5 linked regions of the Xenopus tropicalis genome follow. The protein of the gene in region 1 interacts with the protein of each later gene in a pairwise test. Links are inferred from orthologs where the notes say so. Each region holds a gene or a part of one and is shown in the gene's direction. Other genes may lie near its edges.

Region 1 (3,500 bases):
TACAATTAAATCTGTTTGCCCTTTAGAAAATGGATTTCAATGCAGGAGAAGCTCTATTAACTGAGAAAAAACTTAAAAAAATTAACTTAAAAAAAAATCATGGTTTCCCATGACAGTATTTCTTTAAGCTGGCTGACCTTTTTAGGATTGATTTCTGTGTAATCTAATTGGCCAGCCAAACTGCTCTGACAAAATCACAACTCATAGGGGCTGATTTACTAACGCACGAATCCGAAAAATTCCGATTGGAAAATGAACATTTTGCGACTTTTTCGTGTTTTTCGTCGCCGTTACGACTTTTCGTAAATTGTCGCAACTTTTTTGTAACCATTACAAATTGCGCGAAAAGTTTTCGTATTGAGCGCTCGTAAGCAGCGGGCGAAACTTTCAGACTTAGCATGATTTTGGAAGCCTCCCATAGGACTCAATGGCACTCTGCAGCTCCAACCTGGCCCAAGGAAAGTCTCCCATAGGGCTCAATGGCACTCTGCAGCTCCAACCTGGCCCAAGAAAAGTCTCCATACTGAAGCTTGAATGAATCCGAAACTTTTGTACTCGGCGCAAAAGCTGCGAAAAAGTCGCGACTTTTTGCGAAGCAATCGTAATGGCTACGAAAAAGTTGCAACAATTTCCGAAAGTACCGATCATTACGAAAAAAACGCATTCGGACGCCGTCGGACGATTCGTGGGTTAGTAAATGTGCCCCATATAGTTAACAAGAAGAAGGTGCTGGCTTTAGCACTTCCAAGTTCATCAGTGAACAACATTATAAGGGAAACATAGAGTAAACCTGGCTAAACAGGTAGTAAACCTTGCCAAATATCCTATACACATTTGTCTGTTTTAATTAGAACTGTATGGTTGTCTCTAAGGGTTCTGGACTAAGAGACTTAATTGTGAGTGATTCTTGTTTGATCACACCAGCATCAGCCAGCATAGAACAACTTGGGCTTGCAAATCATTTTAGCAATCCATGTATCCATATCACAGAAATATCCAGCCCTTGAGACCCCAGGCTTTTTACCTAGATAGCCAGTAAGTCTGGCCATATGGGTATGAAGCTGCAAGACGTAGAAGATAAAAGCACTGATATCGCTGTAATGGGAGGAATTTTATGAAAGCAAAATATGTGTTTTGCTATTTTTGTTTGTGTTATAAATATACTTGTTATATCAGATATTTACCAAGACAGTAAGGTATTCTGCAGAGGCACAACATGATGAACACAAACCTCCTACATAAACATAGTTATTTATTGATTAAAGTTGTTCATCCTCTTTTCAGACAAACAAACTGCGAGTTAGCGCACAGGAGATTCAGGGGCAAGCCAAGTTTTCTACACTGTCTGCATTAGTTAACATGACAGATTTATTCTGATCTCCTGGCTCAGCCAAGAGTATAATCTGAGATTATGCAACGATCCTTAGTTCATCACAATGGATACCAGAGACGCACATAAAAAGAGGCTGTTAAGAAAAAAAAAATATTTTTATAAGTGCATCTTCGTGATTCACACACCATGGGACCCACAGCACATTTTTTAATGTTCCAGAAGCCTCCTGATTCTAATTTTCCTTAAGGATATTATCACTGCAGATAAAAACATTGCCCAGCTCCCTGTTCTATGGTCAAAACACAAGATCCAAATTAAATGGTGACTGACTGATTAAGTGATATATTTGTTATATGCTTATCCTCACACTACACAAATATTGCATTCAGTCTGACTGTTATTTGACTAATTGGTTAATTAAATGTGAGTGCTCAGATTAGTGAACTGGCACTGGAATCACACTTCTGTGCTCTATGTGTGCAGCCTGACATGACATAGATATATAACTGCATTAGCATTGCTTACATTGTTAACATTAATAAATACAATTTATTATAAGTAATAGTATGTACACAAATACCATTTATTATAAAAAATAGTATGTGGATAGGACTGATAAATTTGGTGCACTGAGCATGCTGGGACACCAGGAGATTACGTGATTTGCCCAGGGTCACAAGAAGTTATCACAGGGAATCAAACCAATGTCTCTAGTATGAGATCTCACATCAGAGCCTGATCAGTTATCCTGTAAGTTTAGTTTGGTCCCACTCTGACCAAAAGCGTTATAAATAAACATTATATTATTGAAATTCTATCATGAAAAGGAACGGTTAGTATTAACAGTGTGCCATTCTTTTTCAGGATCTTTCCTATAAAGACCGCCACTGGCATGAATCCTGTTTCCATTGCTTCCAGTGCAAGAAATCCCTGGTGGACAAGCCTTTTGCTGCTAAAGATGAACACCTCATTTGCACTGAGTGCTACTCTAATGAGTATTCTTCTAAGTGCAGCGAGTGTAAGAAGACAATCATGCCAGGTAAGGAGTGCTATGGTGTAATATTGCAGAGGATTGTACAGCTCACATAGTGCAAATGTTGTTAATGTTTATGTACTCCTTTGGCTGACATTTTTGTACCTTAAAGAAAAAGTAAGACTTTTATTTTAAACTCCCCTAAAATTACTCTAAACAGCCCCTTGAATAACATATCTTTCTCCCTTCATGCAGATTTGTTATAAGCAGCTGATCTGCAGCCTCTTTTGCGGACTCCCTTGTCTTGCATGAAGCACCTCCCCATTTTGCTTTCTGAGCAGGGAGAAAAGTATGTTATTCTGGGGGGTGTACAGAGTAATTTATATTACTTATGCTTAAAAATAAGTATGTTTTTTTGCATGGGAATAGAATACTAGAATACCTGCCCATTGACTTCCTTGGCGTGAGAAAATATACCCATTGTATTTGGTTAAAAAAAATGAAATTTGGCTACTGACTTCAATTCATTTGGAAGGGAAAAAACTATTGATTCCAATGCAGTTGGAGCAAGGAAAACCACATATTGACTTCAATGCAATGGGGGGCCAGAAAAAAATGCAGTGAAAAAAGTCTATTGACTCCAATACATTTGGAAACATTTCTACCAAATGTTGCTATTTTGCTAATTTTTCCACAAAGTGAAACAGGACAGTTTCACTCATTACTGATGGACACTAATTCATTAATTGAATATTATAATTAATTAAATTAACTATTTTCTTTGCTTTCAGGGCTGAACTTTACTACAACAATATCAAATAGAAATTCTGGCCTATAATAATAAGATTATTATATTATTTATCAAATAAGATATTATATTATTTATTGTAAATGATTTACAATAAGTATATTGTATATATTATAATATAATGCTTTAAAATGACATATTTCACCAGCAGCCTCCAATTATGAAGGAAATATAGTAGCTGTTTTCAATTTCTAGAAATGGCTGCTCTGTACACTGAGCAGAGGCACTGCATGAACAGAAAGGGAGATGCAATTAAATGATTACGACGGGAAAGGGATAAATATATTTTTCATCCAGATGGAGCATTTGGGAGGGTAACCCATTAGTTCCTAAGGTCTTTACCGTTACATCCTGTACACTCCATTTCTATTTCTGCCAGGTTAGAA
Region 2 (4,137 bases), on another chromosome or scaffold:
GATGCACAAGAAAAGAATTGTTTACTGTTTTTTTACACAGCAGGTGCAAATGATACTGCTCCATAGGATAAAAGGGAATCAATGGTGCCAGCACTTGATAGGCAGCAACTTGGATGTTTTGCGGCATGGAAAAGGTTAATATTCCCAAATGCCGCTAGATGAAGACATTTGAGGGCTCTGACAGTTTGATGATCACTGGTTAGAACCTCACTTAAAAATATACTGTGGCGTGCGTTGTAGGCATAACTTACCCTTTAAAAGAAAAAAAGACAAATAACAATGCCAGGAAGACCAGTATTTATCCCCCCCCCCCCCTCCAAGGTCAAACCTGTAGAAAGCCCCCTTTGTGTTTAATACGAAAATAAAGGCCTTGAGCCTCACCAACATATTGGGAGTATATATTAAATAAAAAATCAGCATGTGGGCGAAGGTTATGGGACTTCTTTGTGGTACTGGCGCATTAAAGTCTCAGTGCCAACCTACAGTATGAAAAGCAAAACGTGTGGAGGTAAAAAAAACCCTCTCAAAATAACAAGACTTAAGTCTATTTAATTCGGTTCACTTGACTATAGTCTGGTAATGTGCTTTATTGCGTGAAAACAATACTAGAAATGCATGGGGCTGTGCTGGAATTTGACACTACGCAGTTTGCCCGCCAAAAACAAAGCAAAACACAATTGGCACAACCGCGTATAAGGCGTAAGTGACACATCTGACAAGCGAACACCTGGTTTTATAGCCACGGGTCGCGCCACTGCACACAGAGGGGGCGGGAAGATTCCATTGCGGCTGAAGAGAAAGTACCCGGAAGTGCTTCTAAACAACACCATAAACTGACGTGTTTATAAAGAGGAACTCAACTTCCGTACCCAACAGTCCCCACCCACTCACCGCGGCGCTCCCCAGTCCGGAGACCCCGTACTTGGAGAAGGGTTGACAGCCGTGGAAAGCAACGTCACCGGCAGCAGCGGCGGCGGCGTCACGTGGTCTGTAGAAGCCAGCGAGCTAGCGCCTCCTTAGTCACATGACCTCCCACGGCGGCGCCGTCGACAACAACAACAAGCATTGACAGAGAGCGAAGCGCCTCACGTGACTTCAATAGCGAATAGGAGACGGTTTTGGTGTACGGGCGCGCTTCCGCAGACACGCTGGGCGTGGCTAACACTGACGTCTGTCCAATCATTGGTTGGGCTTCATCGATATTTTTTTTTACGCTGCTCATTGGCTCGCCGCGGTGGGAGGAACAGGGTGGGTATTCGTCGCAGCTTGGGGAGCCGCGCACGGCGTTTGGGTGGGAGGGAGCGTTTCCTGTTCCCAGCATCCTCCGCGCAGCTAATTTTTTTTCCTACCCCTTCCCCGCTGCTGGCTGTGTCGGTAAGATGGCGGCAGTGAGCCTGCGACAAGGAGATTTGGTGTGGTGAGTGTTGCTGTGGGAATGGTTGTAGGGCAGGGCAGGCCGCGCAGGCCTTGAGTGCGCAGCTCTGTATACAAATGGGGAAGGACAGGCAGTGCCTGAGTTGAAAGGGCTGCCTGTGTCGCCTCACTCCCTGCTCCTTGGGGCTGGGACTTCAGCTGCTTCATCAACAAAGAACCGAGAAATTAAGTATGAGGGAGGGCGATTGTGCTGCCAAGCTGCTGAGAGACACACACAATGGCTGCTTAATGGCAGATACACACACAACTTTCCCTACTACTCAGCATTCTGGGAGTTGTAGTTCTGTTGGTAGTGAAGATTTCCTCTTACTGACATGGAGATGACAGTAAAGGGATAATAGCCTTAAATTTAACTTTTACACTCATGTGATTGTTTAAATACGTTCGTAAGGGGTCTTCTATTCTTTTTTTGTGTGTTTTTTTTTTAATGGTCATTTTTCGCCTGCAGTTTGGAATTGGAGTTGTGTTGCTTTTTGGTTGCTAAGGTCCATATACTATAGCAACCACTTTAAATGAGTGACCTCACAGGGTAGCCCTTTGCTGGTGTGCAGGGAAAAAGGTTAATTTATATTATTGCCCCGTAAACCTACAGCTATCGGTCAGATCATTGCAATAGTTTTAAAACTATATATTCTTCTAATGCATTATTCCATGTATTATGGTGTTCCTGTATTTGCACTGAGCAATTTTTAGCAATTTTTTTCTACTTATTATTTAAATCTTTGTTGTCTTTTTTTTTTGCCTAAAATATTCTGGGAAATGGATGTATGATCTATTTAGTTTTATTATTTGTATCCTGTGTTTACAGACTGTTGAAGGACAAGGGAAGGCTGAATCACTGGTGCTGTTGGCACCCCTCTGATTGCTTCAGTTTACTTGCGACCCTAGGGTCCATTTTGTTCCGGTGTCCCAGCATCCCCTGCTCCGTCCTGGCAGTAACAGGGTGAGAACCCTTCCTTGGGCAGCGGCTCCCTGCAAGTTACCAGGGGGCACAAAGCCAGTTAGTAAAATGATAATAAGCTCTTCTGGTGCACAGAGCACAATAGTACTTTCTGCACTAGCAGTACGGCCCCCTTGGGTCTTTGCCACTGGAACCTTTCTTTCTCCTGAATCCAATTCTCTCATTTTACTGAATAACTAGTCCAACACTGTTCTTATTATTGCCAAGCACCGAAACTCAAAATTAGTTTAAAGGAACAGTAACACCAAAAAAAGAGCTAAAAGAGTAATACAAATATAATGCACTGGTACAGCTGGTGTGTTTGCTACAGTAACCCTACTATAATTTATATAATAAGCTGCTGTGTAGCCCCGGGGGCAGCCATTCCTGCACTGGTAAAATTGGTGTGTTTGCTACAGTAACCCTACTATAATTTATATAATAAGCTGCTGTGTAGCCATGGGGGCAGCCATTCAAGTTGGAAAAAAGGAGAAAAGGCACAGGTTACATAGCAGATAACAGATAAGCTCTGTAGAATACAATAGTGTTTTATCTGTTATCTGCTAAGTGCCTGAGCCTTTTTTCCTATGAATGGCTGCCTCCATGGCTACATAGCAGCTTATTTATATAAATTATAGTAGACTTTCTGAAGTAAACACACAACTTTTACCAGTGCAGGGCAGCAGCACATTATATTTTAGTTAGTTTTATACACTTTCATTTTTTGGTGTTACTGTTCCTTTAAGGTATTATGTCAGATATATATTGTATAATTGTTAACCCCCCCACATTTTTATATTGCCTAGAGCTCCATTTTGCAGCAGTATCGGCCCTAAACTCTTATGGTGGCCATACACGGGCTGATTCGGCAGCTTATTGGCCTGTGTATGGGCACAAACGATGGGCCTGCCCGGCTGATATCTGGCCTGAAATCAGCCAGCTATCGATCGGGCAGGTTTAAAAATTTAGTCGGATCCGGGACTGCATTGGCTCATTGATGCGGTCCCCGAACCAACTGCGTCTACTCCTGTCATTCTAATTTGATCGTATTGACCAAATTAGCCCGATATCGGGAGAAGATCCGCTCGCTCCGAGACCTCGCCAAGTGAGCGGATCTTAGCGTGTATGGCCACCTATAGGCTGAGTCCATACCAACTTTGCAGGGGGGATTTTGGTCCATTCTTCCAAACAGATTTTTCTCCAGGAACGTCAGGTTTGTTGGATGATGCTTTTCCTCAATTAGCAAATTCTGCCGTTGATTCTGAACTGAGATCTGGGCCAGTGCAGGACATTTCTCTCTTGAGTCGCTTCAGTGTTAATGATTGGGATCATTGTTCTGCTAAATAATGACTATACGGCCAAACTTCTGCTTTTTTAGCCAGAAGAGTTTTTCCCTCTGTATTTTGCACCATTTATTCTTCAGTTTGATGAAAACATGATGTTTCCAACACCGTTCCTCAATGTCGGCAGTATTTTATTTGCACCATGTGAAATTGATCTTTAGCCAAAAATTCCTGTCTTGGTCTCATCTGAACAGACATTCGTGTCCTACATGGCAACAAGGTCATTCTGCATGGCAGAGTCCCGATGTTCTTTCTTCTTGTCCTTTTTTAGTAAGGGCTTCTTTTGTGCCCCACTCGCATACAGGGAAGTATCTGAAGTCTGTGAAGGTAGAACAGCATCCTTGTAAACAGAAGAAAGAATGGATAGTGAAAAGGGCAGGGAAATATTGCTATAGATTGGGCAGAGGTGTATCTTTCAGC
Region 3 (4,254 bases), about 17 Mb from region 1:
CCTGTATTGTGTTGTTGACCTGTTAAATGTGCCATTTTAAAGTGGTAACTTGCAGGTTCCGATACAAAACCTGTAAAATTGTTTCTTGCTAGATTTAATAGTAAACAGCAAAACTTTCTCACACTCTCTGCTTGCCTTTTGCCCCTGTTAATACCCTGATATGTTTTGCAGTCAACCTTTTATATAATTTTTCAATATTTACAAATGGTTTATACCAGCTCACCATACATAGGCACATACACATTTCATTTTGGTGCATTTGTTGGTCTGAGGTTGTTGGTCCCATGAATGAAAAATATTTCTAAAGTCTCCATAACCAACAGAATACATTTCACCAATACATTCTGTTCAATTAAAAATTAAAGATGCACAGAGCCCTGATAGAATATAACAACCTGCCTCCTTTCTTTATGTTTTCTGATACTGATTTGTTAAGATATGCAAATAGCGGAAATTTATGGGTAAGGCGTTAAGCCAAACAAAGCAATATACTGTGTAGGAGGACATGATGTACGGGAGGAAATAAAAGGCAGAAATAGCAGTGCCATTCTGCAATGCATTAATAAAATGAAATTGTGTGCAGAAGACAAAGATGCAGAGGGATGTTCAGTGACAGGATGACAGAAAATAAATGCCACTATCTAACAGCAGCAGGCGTTGAATGATGGGAGACTTGCTGAGGGTGGGTGTCAGTGTTAAATCAGGGCACCCAAAGGGAGAGAAGCTATACAGAATGTATACAATTAATGTGTGCCATTTTAGTAGTAGTGTTTCTAGAAATGATTGTGCATGTAGATATACTGAGTGCCACAGGAGCCCCTATACCCCCAGGGCCCAGGACCTGCTCCCAGTGTCGGACTGGCCCACCAGGATACCAGGAAAACTCCCGGTGGCCCCAGGTGTCAGTGGGCCGTCCTGCTCCTAACCATTTGGCATGTTTCATAGTCATTCCCTATTTCTGAAGGAAAACAAAGTAGAGAAATAGATGGAGGAATAAATCCTAGCATGTAAATAAAAGAGACTAGGAGAATAAGGAGGTTGAGTGAGGAAAAGGGGGGAAAAATAGTTTGGAGAGTGGGCCTATGGTCTTTTCTGGTGGGCCCCTGTGGTCCCAGTCCCACACTGTCTGCTGCCAATATAGTTTTGCCCTCCTAGTGGTCCTATATATCCCCAGACTGCCTGTAAAGCTAGGGGTGTTCTTCGGCATCATTTAGGGTTCGAAAGGTTTGACTTTTACTTTGTAACTAAAATACCCTCTCCCCACCTGTAGGAAACTCTTAATAACCCTACCATGCCTCATGGTAACATATCAAATCATTGCATATATGATCTAAAATGACTGCTAATCTGAGGCGCACAAATTGTGTTGCACAGGTGCCCGGTGAATCACTAAATTACACTTATAATGGGATATACTGGGCAACGGTGCAGAAGCCAGAGAAGGAAGACAGGCGCATAACAGCCGGCCCACAGCTTGCCGGGCGGTGCCACTGACAGACAGGAGAGGGAGGAGCTGAGCCCACAGACACCCAGCGCCCTGCACTCCTTGCATCTGCTCTCTCTGTACATGGAGCAGCAGTAGCGCCGCTAGGCAGAGCGACATCCCTACCGGAGTCCAGGGTTCAGCTCCAGTTTAGTGCCAGGAGGAAGGATACTATTGCCAGTGCCAGGAATTGGGCAGGTAAGAGGGCGCAGATCCTTGGAACCGAGCCATTTGGAGATTGAGGATGGCACTAGTGCTTAGGCGCTGTTACAGAAAGGCAAGCACCGCACAGCGTAATCATATATACATGTATAGTGGCGAGATATGTGGGGCAAGTAAGGAGAGCAGCTCAGAGCCGTGCCATGGGCGGGGAGGGGGGAGGTTATGAGAGGATACAGGGATGTGTATAGCAGGTCTGTCCCTTCCCTGCTGTCAGAACACACAGCCATGGAGGCTGCTGCGGGGATCCTACTCCTTACCCTGGATCCTCTCCAGCAGGAACAGCTCTGCCTGTATGTTCTTGTGCTGCTGGGATGGCAGGCTCAACCAGCCTCTCACACACATGAACAGATTATGTTATTGACATGTAAAACTGTTGTACACATTTCTTCTTTTGCAAGGTATATTCATGGGAAACATTTCATCTTTTGAGGGGGCAAGCAGAAGCCCTCAGCCAGTTGTACAATTATCCCAACTCTGAAGGCTAAAAATTGTAGTTTACCAACAACTGAAGGATTGCAAGTTAGATAGATACATCAGTAATGCCTCCTATGTATCTATCTATCATCTATCTATCTATCTATCTATCTATCTATCATCATCTGTCATCCTTCTATCTTTCTATATGTGTCTAAATAACCATTTGTCTTAATGCATATGCATTTTGTAAGTATATATTGCATTTTGTAAGTATATATATATATATATTCATTCTGTTTATATGTCTTCCCTTGTCTAATATACTGTGATCTATTCTATGACCATTGTAACCAAAATATCACCTTGACTTATTTGTCATTTCCAGTGAAATATGCCTTTTTGTGCATTATGCAGCTAAAAAAAAGGGGCAGATTTTCCTAAATTAAATGTCATCGCATTTTCTGTTTAGACTTAAGAAATGTTGCCAAACAGCTGCTGCCTTGTGTTTCACATGCACAAATCCCAGGGGTCATTTTCTTTCCTTTATTTTTTGGCTAGGCAGATATATTTGGTGGCTCAGTAATGAGGAGGGGGTGATTCGTCCCTGCTGGAGAAGGTGGTTTCTATCTACAGAGTGCTTCTTTGGATTCATAGGGTTTTTTTTTCATTTTTAAGATATTTTATTTTCAATAAGACTATTTACATTTAGACTACAATCATGTAGTATCTCTTTAATTGAGCGCAAGGGAGCGTGATAAGAGCAATGAACCGTCCTGTAAAGCTGTGACAATGCCATGCTGAAAAGAGAGACAAACACATTTTTTTCATAGCATTCATATAATTATAAAAATATTTCCCCATTTAAAATGTGAAGTGGTTAAGTTGTGACAGATGTATTATTAGCAGCAGGAGCCAAAAATCAATGCTTTGGCGTTACACAAGAAACTATTGTATTCCACCTTAGTATTTGAATAAAAATAGGTGGGAGGACCCTTTAATTATAGTCTGACAGGGCCCAATTCAGATATGTCAGATGGAGCTGCATGCTGGAATGAAAATGTTATTTTCCATTGTCTTTTAACAGCAGATGAAAAGCAAAATGGAGGATTCTCCAGATGGAGCAGGGCTGTAGTTTTGCACATATATCTCTTTTTCTGTAAATCCGATCTGGTCAGAACTGTTTTGGCTTCCATTGTATTGCTCGGAAGCTGCCTGCATGTTAAAGTAATAATGCATTCATGCACTTGGGTTTTTGGTGGCCAAAGGACAGGATGCGCGGGACGCACAAGCAATTATTTCAGCCTGGATGGACTTTCATGTCTTTGGGGTGGTGCTGTGGGATAATTTGATGCTGGATTTTAGGAACTCACATCTCTAATGCATAATGCATGGGACTTACAAAACGACCATCACACAGGAAACCCTTTTACAGCCAAGTCTACAATTAACCCCTTTAGCATTTATTATTCTTTTTTGTTTTTTTTTTTAATTAATAATTAGTTTGTATTTATAATTTTATTATTTTTAATATCAGAAATTCTAAGTATCAGGGACCTTATTTGCCATTGATATGAGGTTTGGGAAAAAATATCTTTGTTTGGCCACTGTTATTCGTAATGAAAAGAGAAGCCCTGCATTAACACAGTGCTGGTCTGACTCTTATATATTTTTTTTATAAGAAAGCTATAAAGAAAAGTAAAATGCATGGGCCCAGAGAACATTATTTATGTGTTTATTATATTTTAGATGTATTTATTTATGTGGGTTTTTAGGTCGCTTTTCTGCACAGCATTCCTTCACACCAATGAAAGTGTGCCCCTGGTGGCCAAATGATTATGGAAAATTTAAAAATACTAGCCTTTTCTCTATAGGTAAAGATTCTATTATGTGAAATGCTTGGGACCTGGGCTTTTCCAGATAAGGGGTCTATCTGTAATTTGGAGTACTGTTTCCTAAGGTATCTAGAAAACACTGAAACATGCTACTGTACGTTGTTACTGTGCAATACGGTCTATCATCCTGCTGCATGAGTTATACAAAGTGCAACTGTAATCTCAGTGTATTTATATAAAACACCAGCATAATATAGATTTCATATGAAAGATACAGAAATGCCTGTTACTCTTGTTTGT
Region 4 (3,983 bases), on another chromosome or scaffold:
CAATACAGGTGTCAGGGAGCTGTTATCATGTTACCTTCCTATTGTTTTACTAATCGGCTGCTGGGAGGGTGATATCACTCCAACCAGTAAAGAAAGACTAAAGTTTATCAAAGCCCAAGTCACATGGCTAAGAGCCCCTAGGAAACTAATAATATGTCTAGCCCCATGTTTTGAAATTACATTTTAAAAAATCTGTTTGCTTTTTAAAAATTTGATTTCAGTGCAGAATTCCTGATGGAGCAGTACTGTTATCTGATGCATTTTGAAAAAAACATGTTTTTCATTGTTGTCTATCCTTTTCTATTCCCTGCCCTGGTGGTTCCAACTTTTGATAGAATGTAACACAAGCCACCTGAATAACAGACCTGTCTTGCTGGAGAAGGCTGACTTTAGCAACATTGTTTAAAAAATCATAACACAGAGTAAAGCAACTGCTGTTTTTAATAGCAAATACATTTACAAATAATGTTTAAAGCACTACAAATATTTAATAAATTCATACTGGAAAGTTGCTTAGAATGATGTTTTCCTTCATCAGGCAAAAATATTTTTGGGTTGACATGTCCTTTAAGGAGAGGATCACCACCTGGGATTTCAGGTTAGTGTCTAAAGCACCCCTTTTATAAAGTTTTGGACATTTGTTGTTGTTTAACACCTAGTTGCACTGGTGTAACTCTAGAGCCTGCAGCAAGATGGAGCCCAGTAAAACGTTCTGCCCATAAAAATAGGGGAGTGAGCTAAACATGGTGGACCGGTCGCACATTGTGCAGAAATTTGGTGGGTAGGGCCAGGTCTGGAATAGGATTCAAAACAGTATTTGTGTCTAAGTACAGAGAGGCCCAATCAGCCCCCACCAGCTCACTAAATAGTGACTGTCTATGACATCTCACAGCAGCTCTGTTCTTTACTGGCTAAACACCTGCCAGGTGTCAACCATTGATATCAATGTTAGTTATAGGAAGGAAAGATAAAACTATAAGGAGTCTGGTGGCAATCATTGCATCATTGTAATACTTTTTAAAAAAATGTTTCATAATTACAGTTCTGTTGTTTCTGTCCCACATAATTGGTAAAATCACAAGCCATTTCACATGTACCAACAAGCAAACATATAAAGAGTTTCAGACTGGAACAGTGATGTTTGAGAAAGCCTTCTCAAAATGGCGCTCTTCTTAGGACACGACGTCCCGAAGCAGGGAAACGTCAGAACGTCAGTGACGTAACCCAGTCCTGGCCGTGTGCAGCGTGGGTTCCCGCAGCCATTGCAGCTTAGAGAGGTCCCCGCTCGTGTGTCACGGCGCAGGCTCGCTGTAGCGCAGCCGCTCTGAGGTGAGTGCCCTACCGCGCAATCTCCAGCTATCTCAACCCTGCTGGCGCAGCCGCAACACGGAGCTCGGGCTCCGGGGTTCTGCCAGCAGCTCCGCCCCGTAGAAAGCCTGCCGGGGAGTATAGTGGAGACTGGGGAGTCAGCCAGAGGTTGCGGGGAACAAGGAATGTAGAGAGGCTGCAGCAGGCCGCACTAGGCCCTAGTGCTTGTGATATGGGCGGGGTGCATTTGAAATACTGAGAATGACTTGGTTATTAATAATGAGCCTGTGTATCCATTTCCATTGCTTCCAAAATACAGACTCTGTAGTGTTTGTGTGTTATACTCAGCAACATCTTATCTGTAGTTTGCACACGCAGTGCATGTAGCTTATTCCCCAGGGGGTGTCGAATCTGTATGGCGCCAGATAATCGGACCCCTGCTCTATATGCAATGGCTGATCAAAAGTCACATCCATGTTGTGGAAAATACTGCTCCCTCTGCAATTATAATTTTGGCTATGGGGTATGTTGTGTTTTTGTATTTTGGTAAGCCTTATTGGATAAGGCAAACCCTGTTAGCCTGCAGCAGTTATTGCAGTACAGTAGCTAATAAAAGGTGTTATAGTTCAGCTGGTGCTGTTAGGCATAGTATCTCCTTTGTATGGCCTAAGGCAAAGCTGAGCTCAAGGGGAACCAGCACCAGTTCCATTCATATGTGTCAATTCTCAAGGTTTTTCCTAAATTGTGTGGAGTCTGTAACTCAATAACATCTGGCAAAATGAGGGGGTGGGGCTGTTCATAATTATGTATTTATTGGGTTTAAGGGGAAATATATGATTTACCTTTTATGTTTTCTACACGATTAAAAGGGATTTTTCAAGTTTTAACATTTGTTACATGTCTCAATAAGTGTGTTTATATTCATAAATGGCAACACAGTTCCCCCAGTAGACCTTTATTTTGTACAGTTTGAAGAAATGTAAAAAAAAAAAATGCATCAAATGTATTAAATTCGTTCCATAGTTAAAACTTAAATTATGTGAACTTGTTGACTGTTTAGAAAACAGCAGTGTTTTCCTTGAAATAAGACATGAGGCTAAACTGCTATTTCTAAAGGTGGCCATACACGAGCAGATCCGCTCGCTTGGTGGGCGATATCGGGGAGCATTTAGGTAAAAAAAAAAATAATCCGATCGTTTGGCCCTGGGGCAATCGGATCGGGGACCGCATCAACGAGCCGATGCGGTCCCCGATCCGACCGGATTTTCTAACCTGGCCGATCGAGATCTGGCCAATTTCAGGCCAGATATCGGTCGGCCAGGCCGCTCTGCTCTCCCCATACACGGGCCGATTAGCTGCCGAATCGGTCCAAGGGACCGATATCGGCAGCTATAGTCGGCCCGTGTATGGGGACCTTTAGGGTTGCTGCAATAGGCTTACATAGGTTAGTTGAATATGCAGACAGTGTCTCCCAAACAGACACTGCTCTTCATATAACTCCCTCCCTGAAAATTTTTGGCAACAGAGCTGCTTTTTTTCAGTGTTACATTTTAAATCCCCCTTGTCTGCTTTAAGGTCTTCTGTTCTTTAAAGGAACAGTAACACCATAAAATGAAAGTGTATAAAAGTAATTAAAATATCATGTACTGTTGCTCTGCACTGGTAAAAGTTGTGTATTTGCTTCAGAAGGCTACTACTCTGCTGTGTAGCCATGGGGGCAGCCATTCAATGGAGAAAAGGCACAGGCACATAGCAGATAACAGAGAACACTATTATATTTTACAGAGCTTATCTGTTATCTGCTATGTAACCTGTGCCTTTTCTCCTTTTTTTAAGCTTGAATGGCTGCCCCCATGGCTAAACAGCAGCTTATTATATAAACTATAGTAGTGTTACTGTAGAAAACACACCGGTTTTACCATTGCAGGGATACAGTGCATTATATTTTAATTACTTTAAAGCTCTTTTAATTTTTGGTATTACTGTTCCTTTAAGAGTGAAGACACACAGATCTACTAGTAGCAGCTACTTGTTGTGGCTACTAAAACAGACAATGCTGATCATTTACCGATAACTGTATCTATGTGTGTTTTAGCAGAGGCAATTCTCAGTATCCTCTATGGCAGGGTATTTTCTAGGGTTTAGTAGCCATGAAAAGTAGCTGCTACTAGTAGCTCTGTGTGTCTTCACCCTTATAAACATAGTTCTCTGCTATCTTTAGGATTAGTAGTTAAGTGTAAGGTGACTGGGTGCACATTTAATCGCTAATGGGGCTTAATTACAAATATGAGAGACATCATAATGCAAAACCCAATTTATAGTGCCAGTTTAAAGGGTTTATATACACCGGCATTTGCCTTTTTGCCTAGTGAGAGAAATTGCAAATGGAAGCAAATTTTTGTATATGCAGTAATTAGCTATTGATTTTAAAGTTATTTGTGATTGATTTCAATAGAAATGTTCAATAAAAAAACATTCTCTGCTTCTTTCTATTCTCTGCCCTGGTAGATAGATAGATATATATATATGTTCTTATTTTTTAAATTTTTTTTTTTTTAAAGTGTTACATTCCCTTTATGTTGGAGTGGCTCTTATGGGTGCACAGATAAATATAACGTTGCTGTTCTTTATGTTCCTCAAAGCCCTGGTCATAATGTGTTTGCTGTTATTATGGC
Region 5 (4,184 bases), on another chromosome or scaffold:
TTTTTCAGCAATTAGGCAGGATTGCAACAAGTACATTGTTTTGCACACTGAAATCCAACATAGCTTTCCCACAGGCAACAAATGTCCTCACGTGCCACAACCCTTAAAGGAACAGTAACACCAAAAAATGAAAGTGTATAAAAGTAATTACAATATAATGTACTGCTGCCCTGCATTGCTACAACTGGTGTGTTTGCCTCAGAAAGACTACTATGGTTTATATAAGTAAACTGCTGTGTAGCCATGGGGGCAGCCATTCAAGCTGGAAAAAATAAGAAAAGGCACAGGTTACTTAGCAGATAACAGATAAACCCCCATTATATGGGGCTTATCTACTAGTTATCTGCTATGTAACCTGTGCCTTTTCTTATTTTTTCCAGCTTGAATGGCTGCCCCCATGGCTACACAGCAGCTTATTTATATAGTAGCTTTTCTGTAGCAAAAACACCAGTTTTTTGCAGAGCAACAGCACATTATATTTTAATTACTTTAAAACACTTTAATTTTTTGACGTTACTGTTCCTTTAAAGGAGACATATTGGATAAATGGGAAAAACCTTGCAGTCACACAAGCAAAGACAGACTTCAGTTCCCTATCAGGTCAGCCTATCTGCTGATTGGTTCCTATCCTACAGTGCAGTGTACCCAGAGCCAGCAGGAAGTAGAACAGATGGGGGGGACTACCGGGGTTTTAGGGGAATTTCTCAATAAATCAGTCTGAAACACAACTTTTTTTTAAGCACAATCCTTCTATACCTAAAAGAGTATAATTCACTGGTACATTCATTTTTATATACCTCTCCTTTAATAGGTTTAAAAGTACGTAGAACATAAAGATAAAATAAATTGTACCCATTTCATGGTCCTCCCCCAAATTAGCCCTTGTTTGCACAAAAATACTGCGGCCCGCTTAATACAAAAAAAAAATCCCTAAAGTGATGACCTAATTTCATCTGACCCATGTTAGAGCAAAATCTCTTTCCTTTTTTGGTCAAATTGGGACAAGCGGATCCGACAGCGGAAGGTGCTATTCGCAACCAATAAAAAAAGTCTTCTGTTCGTTTCCTGGCAAAAGAAGAAAATCTGAGCAAAAATGATAAAGTGCTGCGTATGAAATACTGGAAGCCGACGTGGAGGCCATGGCAACCAATAAGAAAGAAAATTCTTATCTTTTTTTTTGTTCTCTAACAAAAGTAGGTGGTGTGTTGAGTATAGCAAAAACAAACTGTGAGCGGACCTACTGCACCATAGCCGCTTCTAATTGCGTAACACTAAATTACGTCGTATCCCCATGTTACTCCCATTAGACGGCTACGTGTTACGTCACTGCGCTTTGCGTCCGGACGTCATTACGCAATCTCGCGTGATGAGGCGTCGGGATTTTCTCTAAGTCAGGAAGGAGGCCAGAATCTTGCAGTTAAAATCTTTGCGGGAATTGTAAGTAGCGATCTGATACTGCGGGCTGTGATAGGAAAATGGGGAGAGTCTGTGTTGTATGCACTTACTCGTTTAGCCGGCCCCTCCCTGCTGTCGGTGAGCTGCAGACCTTAGAAGGAAGGGCGGGAGCTAAGGTGCCTGCGTTTTGTTTCCCCATATACAGCTTTCTGTACTGCTTGTTTTGTCACAAGTTTTAGTCCCTGTGAAGCTGCACAGTGATTAGATAGGGTACAGGTTGGAGTGTGAACTCTCCCTAGCCCATCTTTTCCTTATCATGCCCTACTTGGACTAAAACTTCTGTGACAAAGGGAGCAGTAGAGAAAGATGTGTAGAGAAAAGAACATGCAGGCACTGAAGCTCCCTCCCTTCTGAAGTCTGCAGCTCACTGACAGCATTGGGCCCCGTTATCAAAATAAGTGCAGCACAACAGGGCCTCCCTTAAGACCAAAACAGTACAACAATGTACATATTGCTTTATAAAGGTCTATGTTACACTCATTGCCATAATCCTTTATTTTTTAGTATCAAAGAAGAAGCAGGACATAAAGCACTCCGGACTGCCAGGGTCTGCTAAAACATGATCTTTATTTCTTCACATTAAAAACAGGTGCCTGACGCGTTTCGTGCGTTAGTGCACTTATTCGTTGGCCTATGAATAAGTGCACTAAACGCGTCAGGCACCTGTTTTTAATGTGAAGAAATAAAGATCATGTTTTAGCAGACCCTGGCAGTCCGGAGTGCTTTACGTCCTGCTTCTTCTTTGATGATACCTTCAGCTACGGGTTCGGGGCTTTGAGCACCCGGACCATCTTTGGACATCGGTGAGCACACTGTTTTCCCCACTCATATGAAAATTGAATAAGGAATAGGAGCCTTTCTGGTTTCAAGTGTTAGGCTCGGGGTTTTGACACCCAAGCCTCCTTAGCACAAGGGGTATTTATCCTGTTCATTTTTGAATATATGATTTTTACATTTCCTTAATTTTCTAATTTTTAATGTCCTTTACTTTGAAAACCAGTTTGGTTATATATCACTTAGTTGGGAGAAATTGAGTGTCTTTTTGCCTGTTGGGTGCTTTTTTCCTTTTGATTCTATAAAGGAGTAATTGCTCAGCTTGATGTTTTGGTCTGGAGTTTTATTTTATTTCTATGGGGCACTGGAGAAAATGAATGCAGGGGTTCAAGGGATTGCCTTATTTCCTGCACTATTATTGAAATAAATTATACAATCCCAGAGCCAATTAATGACAAGTGAAATACTAGTGATCCCATGAGGATTTTGAGACTGATACCAACATCAGAGGTTTATTGTAGATAGAGAAACATATATTATGGTAAGATAAGAAAAGAAATGTGTTACTTTTAGATTTGTTTTCTTTTGTGTAAACTTGTAAGCCCTCAGTTTTGTTTTAATAGTGCTTTTGAAGGGTAGGGGGTTGAAGTTGCCTTATTCTAAGTGTACTTTATAGCTGTATATTAAAGGAGAAGGAAAGTCAAAATCTATTAAGCACACTATTAAATAGTACTACTATTGCTGTGTAAAAACGCTATATTCCTGGCCGCCTAATGAAAGATTTACATAGATACACATACTAGAACTTACATACTTGTTTCAGTGAACAGCGCCACCATCTTGTCCAGCATGTCTGTATGGGCTGAAAAGCACAAGCCAGCTCCCCGCTCCTGTCACAAAGATTCTGCAGCTCCCCGCTCCTGCCACAAACCCCCCCAAGCTCCACAAACCCCCCCGCTCTTGCCACAAACCCTCCGCCGCTCGCAGCACCTGTCCCCCGCTTCCCCCACCTGCTTGTCACAGAGTTCGGCGACGCTGCGTTGCCATGGCAACCGGACGCTCCTGCCCTGTGCGCATGCGCCGCCTGCAGTAACAAGTCGCCAAGTCTTGAAGGAGCGATGCATTATGGGAATCTTCTCTACCCAGCTCAGCATTTTTTTTTCCTGTTTGGCTTCTGATCTTCTGAACGGGTGAAGTATGGGGAGATTTAAGGGCACTATTGAGACAACTGAAGGTATGCCTGCAGCTTGGGATTAACTCTTTATTAGCCTTTCCTTCTCCTTTAAGCATGGGTAGGTTTCTTGGCTTTTAGGGACAAATAATATTTATGTCAAAGTGGTTGTGATGCAGAGATGCTGCAACTTGAGCAGAGGTCCCTAACCTTTTTTTTTTTTTTACTTGCGAGCAACATTTAAATAAAAAAAATGTTGGGGAGCAACACAAGCATGAAAAAGGTTCCTAGGGGGTGCCCAGAAAGGGCTGTGATTGGTTATTTGGTAGCCCAATGTGGACTGGCAGACCACAGGAGGCTCTGTCTGGCAGTACATATGGTTTTATGCCTCCAAAATGTGCCACCAAGCCAGAAATTCAAAAATGAGCAACTGCTTTGAGGCCACCGGGAGCAACATGTTGCTCACAAGTCACTGTTTGGGGATCACTGATCTTGAGTATGCTGATGGATTATGACCTGCCACACCCAGAGTGGAGACAGTTTCTTTCTGTTTGTACACAATTCCCTAAGTGTATATTGCTTTATATCATACACTTTATTTTTAAAATATATATTCGTCAGCATGTTACAATTTTGTGTTTGCAGGAATTTCCACATTCCTTTTCACAAAAGCCCCTCTTGCTGGATATTTGCTATTCTTCCAATGATGTCAGGCCAGGAACTGGCTGAAGTGGTTCAAATTGCAGTGGAAGATTTACATCCAGGCCATCATCCAGGTCAGTAC

What was found.
Region 2: the proteins of fhl2 (region 1) and glyr1 interact in binary tests that used the Homo sapiens proteins (3 or more experiments, as listed by UniProt). The two-hybrid records come from large-scale screens. The link is inferred for Xenopus tropicalis from reciprocal best matches to the Homo sapiens genes FHL2 and GLYR1.
Region 3: the proteins of fhl2 (region 1) and rai2 interact in binary tests that used the Homo sapiens proteins (3 or more experiments, as listed by UniProt). The two-hybrid records come from large-scale screens. The link is inferred for Xenopus tropicalis from reciprocal best matches to the Homo sapiens genes FHL2 and RAI2.
Region 4: the proteins of fhl2 (region 1) and nrf1 interact in binary tests that used the Homo sapiens proteins (3 or more experiments, as listed by UniProt). The two-hybrid records come from large-scale screens. The link is inferred for Xenopus tropicalis from reciprocal best matches to the Homo sapiens genes FHL2 and NRF1.
Region 5: the proteins of fhl2 (region 1) and banp interact in binary tests that used the Homo sapiens proteins (3 or more experiments, as listed by UniProt). The two-hybrid records come from large-scale screens. The link is inferred for Xenopus tropicalis from reciprocal best matches to the Homo sapiens genes FHL2 and BANP.

The regions. Positions count from the first base shown.
Region 1 is NC_030678.2:111,699,104-111,702,603, reverse strand, and holds part of fhl2 (four and a half LIM domains protein 2), read left to right. Parts: intron 1-2,197; coding exon 2,198-2,372; intron 2,373-3,500. UniProt on the Homo sapiens protein: May function as a molecular transmitter linking various signaling pathways to transcriptional regulation. Negatively regulates the transcriptional repressor E4F1 and may function in cell growth.
Region 2 is NC_030685.2:14,408,494-14,412,630, reverse strand, and holds the start of glyr1 (putative oxidoreductase GLYR1), read left to right. Parts: upstream 1-1,337; 5' UTR 1,338-1,379; coding exon 1,380-1,417; intron 1,418-4,137. UniProt on the Homo sapiens protein: Cytokine-like nuclear factor with chromatin gene reader activity involved in chromatin modification and regulation of gene expression. Acts as a nucleosome-destabilizing factor that is recruited to genes during transcriptional activation.
Region 3 is NC_030678.2:95,074,054-95,078,307, forward strand, and holds the start of rai2 (retinoic acid-induced protein 2), read left to right. Parts: upstream 1-1,454; 5' UTR 1,455-1,681; intron 1,682-4,254.
Region 4 is NC_030679.2:87,138,907-87,142,889, reverse strand, and holds the start of nrf1 (nuclear respiratory factor 1), read left to right. Parts: upstream 1-1,183; 5' UTR 1,184-1,329; intron 1,330-3,983. UniProt on the Homo sapiens protein: Transcription factor that activates the expression of the EIF2S1 (EIF2-alpha) gene. Links the transcriptional modulation of key metabolic genes to cellular growth and development.
Region 5 is NC_030680.2:65,815,711-65,819,894, forward strand, and holds the start of banp (protein BANP), read left to right. Parts: upstream 1-1,384; 5' UTR 1,385-1,437; intron 1,438-4,045; 5' UTR 4,046-4,103; coding exon 4,104-4,176; intron 4,177-4,184. UniProt on the Homo sapiens protein: Controls V(D)J recombination during T-cell development by repressing T-cell receptor (TCR) beta enhancer function. Binds to scaffold/matrix attachment region beta (S/MARbeta), an ATC-rich DNA sequence located upstream of the TCR beta enhancer.